Linked DNA regions of Oryzias latipes. The protein of the gene in region 2 binds, or shares a complex with, the protein of the main gene of each other region. Links are inferred from orthologs where the notes say so. Each region holds a gene or a part of one and is shown on either strand. Other genes may lie near its edges.

Region 1 (3,687 bases), on a different chromosome or scaffold from region 2:
TGTTTTGAGTACCGTAACTATTCAATTGTTATGGGGATTTCTTTCTCCACGTCAGAATCAGCGCATTCACGTTGATTGTGTGAACGATTGAAGAGCTACGGTTTGTCAAAGAGCGTGTGCTGTGTAGGCGTCGCCGGTGACATCTCTGGTGTTAAAGAGTCTTGTTCTGCTTGTATATTTTGTGCTTCTGTTGAACTGTTTAGCCTGTTACCTGGTGGTAATAGAATGGTTGTCTCATGATCCGAATTTCATCAATACTAATAAGCCCTTAAAACTGAGCTGAGTTTCATTTTTTTAATTTCTTTTTTAATTAATTAATTAATGTATTTTTCTTTAATGCAGCCCAGGATTCTGGAGGTTCTCCTTGTCCCAGTTCTTGTCCCGATCTCAACAAGTCCCAGACGCTAAGCTCGCTGTCGGAGAGTGGAGCCGTTTTGGTGGAAGTCTGCTGTCTGCTAGTGTTGGCAGTGGAGAATAAGGTTCTGTATTTAGGTCATACAGTTATTTTACACATTGTGTTGATGCATTAGGTGACATATTTCAGAAAACTGTGGTATATTTTAAATTCCTGGTCTTTTCTTTTTCTTCTAGGCTGCTGCAGAGGAGCTGTGTTTTCTGCTTAGTCAGGTTTTTCAGATCGTTTACACAGAATCAACCATTGACTTCTTGGACAGAGCCATTTTTGACGGAGCAACGACACCAACTAGACACCTGTCTTCATACAGTGGTACGCAGACGCAACAGCAAACCAGATTACAGTGGTCATTCGTTTATCGCAGGAGTTGTGTTCCAAAAATAACCGCCAATAGATGAAATTTGCAAACTACTCAGCTTTATTTTTTTTTACAAGAACTAGAGATGTATTAAGGCTGTAAAACCCCTTCCTTATACTCATTTTTAGTTTTCTTTCTTGTTTAAACTCTCAAAGTTCAAATCTTCATAGAAAAAAGGTCCAATGTTACAGAAAGAAACCAAAGATCTGCTCACAATTGATCATTTATGTAGTTTTAGCAAGCTGAATAAATTCTGTGCAGAAGACACGACACAGAGGAGTTTGATTGACAAGGACACTGAAAAAAAAAAACTAAAATAATCTGTGAGACCATGAAAGGTGAAGCAAGGGATCACTGTATCCTTTCTTCTCATTTTTTTCATTTTTTCACATTTAAGGTCAAATGAAGTCTGAAAATCTTACAACTTTATTTTGTGATTTTTAAAGATGACTCCTCGAGTAAAGTGGACGTTAAGGAGGGTTTCGACGCAGAAAACAGCACATTGTAAGTAGACTGAGCGGTGCTTTCTGCTTGAATTCTATTCAGATATTTATTCTCAGTTCTGTTCATCACTTTGCACAGTTTTTCTCGGTGTCTTTCTGAGGCTGCTTTCTCTCAGTCCGTTCCAGGTCAGTATGGATGCAGATGGAAACTCTCCGTCTGCATCCACCCCAGCATCCCCTCAGAAGAAGACGGCAAGTGAAGGAGAGCTCAGCACAACCGCCGCAGAGCTTTTGCAGGACTACATGACCACAGTACAGAAAGACTTTTTTTCTCTTTCTTGAAAACACTTAAAATAATCTTTAAAAAAAAAGGTATTCAACTGAAAATAACTTTTGTTTTTGTAGTTGCGGACAAAACTGTCGTCGCAGGAGATCCAACAGTTTGCAACTCTGCTCCACGAATACCGGAACGGGGCTTCGATTCACGAGTTCTGCATCAACCTGCGACAGCTCTATGGAGACAGCAGGAAATTCCTCCTACTGGGTAAAAAAACTGCATTACACCGACTTTCATCTTTTAAAACGATGGCAGAAACTGAAATGTGGATTCATAATGACCACAAAAATGACTATTAATAATTTACTGCATCATTTTTTCTGGTGAGATCTTGTGACCCTTTTCATTTCTTGTAGGTTTGCGCCCCTTCATACCTGAGAAGGACAGTCAGCACTTTGAGAACTTCCTGGAAACCATCGGCGTGAAAGACGGCAGAGGCATTATAACGGACAGCTTCGGTCGCTGCAAACGCACCGCCAGCTCCGCCTCTGATTCCACCACCAACGGGAACGGCGCGGCAGGAGGAACCGGCGGCAGCGCGTCCTCGGGGGAGGAGCAGGAGGCCTCCGAGGGCGACGAGTGGGACCGCATGATCACCAACATCAGCAACGACATTGAGGCCCTCGGCTGTAGCATGGACCAGGAGGCATTAGCGCCCTGATGGGGAGCAAAAGCGGGTCATTTTGCGTGGAGGCGTGGCCATTCCTGTAGGCATGAGAAAACCGGATCAGATGAAGGTGGTCCTTAGCACTGACCTCAAATTAGCTTAAACGTATATTCCTCTGTTTATCAAGAGGGCGTTCAAACTCCCCACAAACTCAAGGAAAACCTCAACTTGTTGCCATAGGTCAACAAACGCACTTATGCAGTCTGCGAGAAGCAGGAAGTTGACTCGTTCCGCATTTCAGGTGGATTCCTAAAGGATTTTCTTTTGGTTTTGTACTTCTTATTGGCAGCATCTGCCACCGCTTTTAGTAATGTAGCTGCAGCCAGTACAGCCCAGACTCCAGAGGATCCATCAGTGCACATATTTCAGAAGGTTATTACTGAAGTTTGTGATTCTGTTTTTTTATTTTATACTGCAATATATCAACCCGCTTCATCCATGTACTTCACTTTTGCGTTGTGAGTGTGTAACATGCTTTTTGTTTTTGTGTACTGCTCTGCTTTACACTAGCATTTGTTTATCAGTGTTTACTCCTCATTATACAAACTGACCAAGGAAATGCTGTAAAGACAAAAGCGTCACCAGTTATTTTTGACAAAGCCACTAATGACTGGCTGATGTTCAATCACGATTTGCTGGGTTTTGTCATGCAGACCGTTTGTTGTGCATCTATTGTGCCTTTTACACTGCAGCACTACTGCCAGCTGTCTGACAGACAGGGAATTAGAAACTGTAACTACAGTTGCTCCTCTTGTTACGGTTATTAAATAACAGATCGTTCACTGATTGTATTTTAGTATTGCAAATCTGCATTTATCTTAAAGTTGCATAAAACAAACGTTGCAGTCTCATAAATCTGTCTGCATTTTTTTTATTTTTTTTTTATTTACTTTACTAAAATAATCCCATTATGATCTTCTGAGCGCTTGGGTGCACCTAAGCTGCTGTGGAACTTAAGAGAGCCATCAAAGCGGTTCTGCTGGATGGCCTCAGTTCGGATTAACTGGTGAGTGTCGGCGACGGAATATTGGCGAGATGCTGAGCACATTCCGTTCTTGAAAAGCCTCTCAGTGGCGTGTTTATTTCACGTTCCCCTTTTCTCTGCTTTTTCACCTGTAAAAATCTAAACCAGGTCAAACTGAACCAAACTCGACAAACTGGGTTTGATAAGCTTTTTTTTTTTCTGCGGTGAAATCCACCTGCTTGTACTAAAAATACAGTCTGTAGATGCCCGTTTTTGGCCACTACGTCAAAGAATGAACTAAAAAAATGTAAATGTTTTTATGAAATCTACAAAAAAAAAGTGCTAATTATTTTTTCATGAAATATAGATAATATCACGGATGTCATGTTGGATGCTTTCGTAAGTTTTCTTCACACTCTTAGTTTAAGATGGAAAAACATTGGCATGAGTGTTCAGAAAAAAAGCAGCTTATTCACCCAGTCTCAAATTTGATCCCCTCATTT
Region 2 (3,819 bases):
AAAAAAAAAGTCACTTTCAATACCACCTACAAATGTAAACTCCTCCTAAGGCTTTCATTCTATCACCTCCTAACCATCATCATTGGGAAAATACTTGGGGGGGGGGGGTTGTAATTAGAAGCTGTAGATTTTGAACAGTGTTCAGATGGCGAGCTCGCAAAAGTGCCGCTCCCCTGTTGCTCGCACACTTTTTCTAACCAGAATATTGTGAAAATTTTAATCGTGACTCGCTGGCTCCAGCTCAATGAAACGATATAGCATACAATATGACTATATGGGGAATGTGGTCATGGTTGATAAATATATCTCTGTTGTCAAAGAAATTCCAACGTTTACTTTGGCAGAAATGACATAGACCCGTTTGTCATCCCCAGGCAGCCAAAAAACTAAAATGGTTGCTATGAAGATGAAACCAACAGAAAAGCCGCCATTTTTTGCAAAAATGTGTTGTTTATTCCCCATTTGTCACATGCAAATCTGACTAGGGGGAAAGAGGGGGGAGAGTGAGGGGCCTGAAACAGACACTCAGCCAGTCAGCGAGGGTACGAAAAAAAAACAACACATTTTTTTCCCATGAACAAACTTTCACAATAAAAGCAAAAACTATTTTACAGTCGTCTCTCGATTGTCATTGTGGGAGTTGCATTCTAAAAACTACCCTCAATGGCTGAAATTTCCACTGTACTCCATTTCAAGGGACAGTGGGACTTACACACTGGTCACTGGTCTCGGGTATGAACTCCCCCTCGCTGTTTATGCTGGTGTATGAACCTTGGCGGGCGATCCTCTGCTGGCGTTCAGGCACATATCCAGGAGGTGGAGAACTTCGCCCAGTGTTCTGAGACCCTGAAGGATCACAGACGGTACTATGAGTATCACTCAAAACACATATGAGACCAATAAAAAAAGATTTGAATCAATTACTTAGTCTTTATTCTGAAAACCTTTTAGGGGATTTAAATAGGAATTATTATTTATTTCATTAAAACAGCTTGAATAAAATGGTTTGTCTGATTAACTTCATTTAATTATTTGAATGTTTTTTCTTAAAACTCAAATCATTTAAAGGGTTGTAATAATCAAAATAGATTCCATCTTTACTTTTCCGTTGGTAGGTGACACTTGAAAGTGGGAATTTCATTGACTGTGATATTCTTCATTTTTTTAAAGGACCGACAAGAGTTAAATGCTTTGGAAAGCCTTTGTTTGAAAAGAATCAAGTCTCAGAATATAGAGAAAATGAAGTTTGGAGTTTTTTTTAAACAGCACTTCTGGTTTTAAAGAATCAAACACTAAAAACTATTTGCTACGATTTAGTGTAACAGTGAAGAAAAAAAGGAAGAAAATCTGATGCAATAAAGGAAAGAAAGAGTGCAACCAGAATTTATTTGCATCACAGACAATAAAAATGATAAAATGAACATAAAAACAACTACAACTTTGATTAATTCAACCAACATTAGTCCCTTTGAATTGATGGTAAACAGGTATTCAAGAGAATGTACCGGTTGATAAGTGGCGCCCCCTAGGTTCAGAGGATTGGTACAACGTGCTGACATCTCCAGTGGACTGGGAGGACTTGATCCTCACCTGCTTGCAAGGTGCATGATGGGAGGGAGAGGTGGCCTGTGGAGGACGCAGGGATAAAACCAGCTTCCATGTGTGACTCAACAGTATCACGATGATGGGAATTAGAGGCGTGGTGTTTTTACACAATGCGGCTTTGTGCTGAAGAAACGGTGTTGGTGCAACGGCGTGTTGCAACCGTACGGCCAGTCTGTCTTACATGTCTGTGCTCCTGAGTGAGCAGCAGGATCCTGATGCTTTTCATGTTGGAACTTCGGTCCAGCAAGTCGACGGCCTTGTCCAAGTCGTCCTGACCTCTTAAAGGAATGGACATCTGCAAAGAAACAACCCAAGGAGGCAAACTCATAAAACAAACAAGCATCTGTACACAAAATTCATAAAACGAGGCAGAAAATTGTGTTTTTATGGCATTTTCCTGATGATGGACACATATAAAAAGAATTAACCTCAAATTTGTATTTCTGAGTATTTCTTTATTCTAATTGGTGTGAAAAAGGAGCAGATGATTAAAAAAAAAACGCCAATTGAAAACGTAAAAAACACAGCAGGTGGGCCACAAGCTCCGTCGTTTTCCTCATCTGAGCTGCCAACTGGCTCAAAACTGGATCGCTACAATAATGCTCGACACTTTTGTTGCACCGGTAATGTTAGAGTGGAGGTGTGAAGGGCTGTAAGCCAGCAAGAGCGCGTGTAAACAGAGAGCTCTCAGCAACAGGGAGGGGAATGGGGGTGGGGTTGCTCCGGACCCCTTCCTTTTTAATAAATCACTAGTCGTTCACTAGTTCACTGATCCTTACTCATTAAAAAACTCTGGGAACGCTGTTAAAATTGATCAGAATTTAGATGCTAGGAACCCTTTTAGCGAGAAAAATCTTTTATTCACATGTAAAAACTTTAAGAATTTAACAAAGCACAAACAATTGAATAAAAACGAAGGTTTAAAACATGCACAAAAAACAACCAATTGGTTCAACCTTTAGATGTACTTGTCTTTAAAGATAATTTGCAAATAAATGATACTTTGAAACCTATTTTTTAGAAGGGGAAATTCATTTTTTAAAGAAATGACTGTGTTTTTTAGCAGCACAAATAAGTTTTCTAATGAAGACAACAAATTGATATATTTGACACCAAAACACTCTGATAAACAATGAGATCAAATTAGATAAAATATGGAATACATAAATGAGGAGCGGTTGCTTACATTAACCCAGTTTCAAATAAAAGAAGCTTCCATGAGTCTAGTTTTTGCATCATCTCAACTCCTTTGCCCCGGTATTTTTTTCATCTTCTTATTTTATGTCCTTTTTCTCTTTATTTGTCCCTTTAAGCATCCACGTTTTTGGATTAACTGGTTTTCTAAAAGACAGCCTCATTTGCAAACACGACAAATTTACAGGAACGTGGAGCGCTTGGAGAAGTGAAAGACAATCCAAAGTGCCGGAGAACATGCTGAAAAGCACTTTACCTCATTGTTCACATAATACAGGTCCAGCAGCTGACCAAACACGCTCTTGACTTTTTGCTGAATTTCCTCAAACTGCACAGGCCTTTCAAACATCAGGATCCTGCATGAAAAGAGCAGAATTCCCACAGATTATGGCAGATTTGTACCAGCTGCTGAGGAAACGCCATTTGAATTACATGCACACGTGCAAGCAAAACACACATGCTGCACTTTTCGGTGGGTTCAGATTCTTTCAAGTACACCTTAAATATTTGTGGTGTGCGCTGGCAGCCGCATGCTAACCACAGTCCTTTCCCTCTTCCTTCTGCAGCTCGCATACCGATCTGGTTTCACTGCAGGAGTGTGCGCTCGCTCTCATGAGCTGGAACGTGTGACCAGAACGGCATGCCTGTGTGTTTACATCTCTCAGGAGTGCATGGACTGCATTTGGATGCATCATCCGTGTAAACAAAACTCAAATAAACTCACCTCCTCTCCCCTGAGAACTCAAACTTTATCCTCACATCATCCTGAGGGAGAGAAATCAGAGGATGAGGACATTCCTGTACAATATATCGCTTTTACTAAAGATGCTTCTCACAAAAGACCATTTAGGAGATCCCAGTTCCACTCAAAACAACTGGGGTGACTGAGTTTATGTGAAGAGTGGAGAAAACGATCCGTTTCAGGGGAAATGGGGTTTACAATTCAAGAAACAAGCATTTGCCTTTTTGGAGACGGTTCGGTGAGGGAGCTGGTTCCGGACAGAGAAAAAGGAAATACGA

Evidence for each region.
Region 1: the proteins of map3k3 (region 2) and ccm2 are in contact, whole or in part, in a crystal structure (PDB 4Y5O), measured with the Homo sapiens proteins. The link is inferred for Oryzias latipes from reciprocal best matches to the Homo sapiens genes MAP3K3 and CCM2. Residues at the interface, in NP_002392.2 of Homo sapiens: Asp2, Glu3, Gln4, Ala6, Leu7, Ser9, Ile10, Met11, Asn12, Asp13, Leu14, Val15, Ala16, Leu17, Glu50, Asp82, His84, Met86, Asn88, Glu89, Leu90, Ser91, Ile92, Leu93, Arg117, Leu119, Leu121, Ser122, Gln123, Asp124; in NP_113631.1 of Homo sapiens: Leu299, Tyr302, Met303, Leu306, Arg307, Ser312, Gln313, Ile315, Gln316, Gln317, Phe318, Ala319, Ala320, Leu321, Leu322, His323, Glu324, Arg326, Glu333, Ile336, Asn337, Gln340, Leu341, Leu353, Phe356, Pro358.

Annotation. Positions count from the first base shown.
Region 1 is NC_019882.2:14,044,875-14,048,561, forward strand, and holds the end of ccm2 (cerebral cavernous malformations 2 protein), read left to right. Parts: intron 1-342; coding exon 343-479; intron 480-591; coding exon 592-727; intron 728-1,219; coding exon 1,220-1,277; intron 1,278-1,392; coding exon 1,393-1,528; intron 1,529-1,621; coding exon 1,622-1,760; intron 1,761-1,909; coding exon 1,910-2,214; 3' UTR 2,215-3,075; downstream 3,076-3,687. UniProt on the Homo sapiens protein: Component of the CCM signaling pathway which is a crucial regulator of heart and vessel formation and integrity. May act through the stabilization of endothelial cell junctions. May function as a scaffold protein for MAP2K3-MAP3K3 signaling.
Region 2 is NC_019866.2:4,128,452-4,132,270, forward strand, and holds part of map3k3 (mitogen-activated protein kinase kinase kinase 3), read right to left. Parts: intron 3,565-3,819; coding exon 3,524-3,564; intron 3,156-3,523; coding exon 3,056-3,155; intron 1,901-3,055; coding exon 1,787-1,900; intron 1,627-1,786; coding exon 1,506-1,626; intron 847-1,505; coding exon 713-846; intron 1-712. UniProt on the Homo sapiens protein: Component of a protein kinase signal transduction cascade. Mediates activation of the NF-kappa-B, AP1 and DDIT3 transcriptional regulators.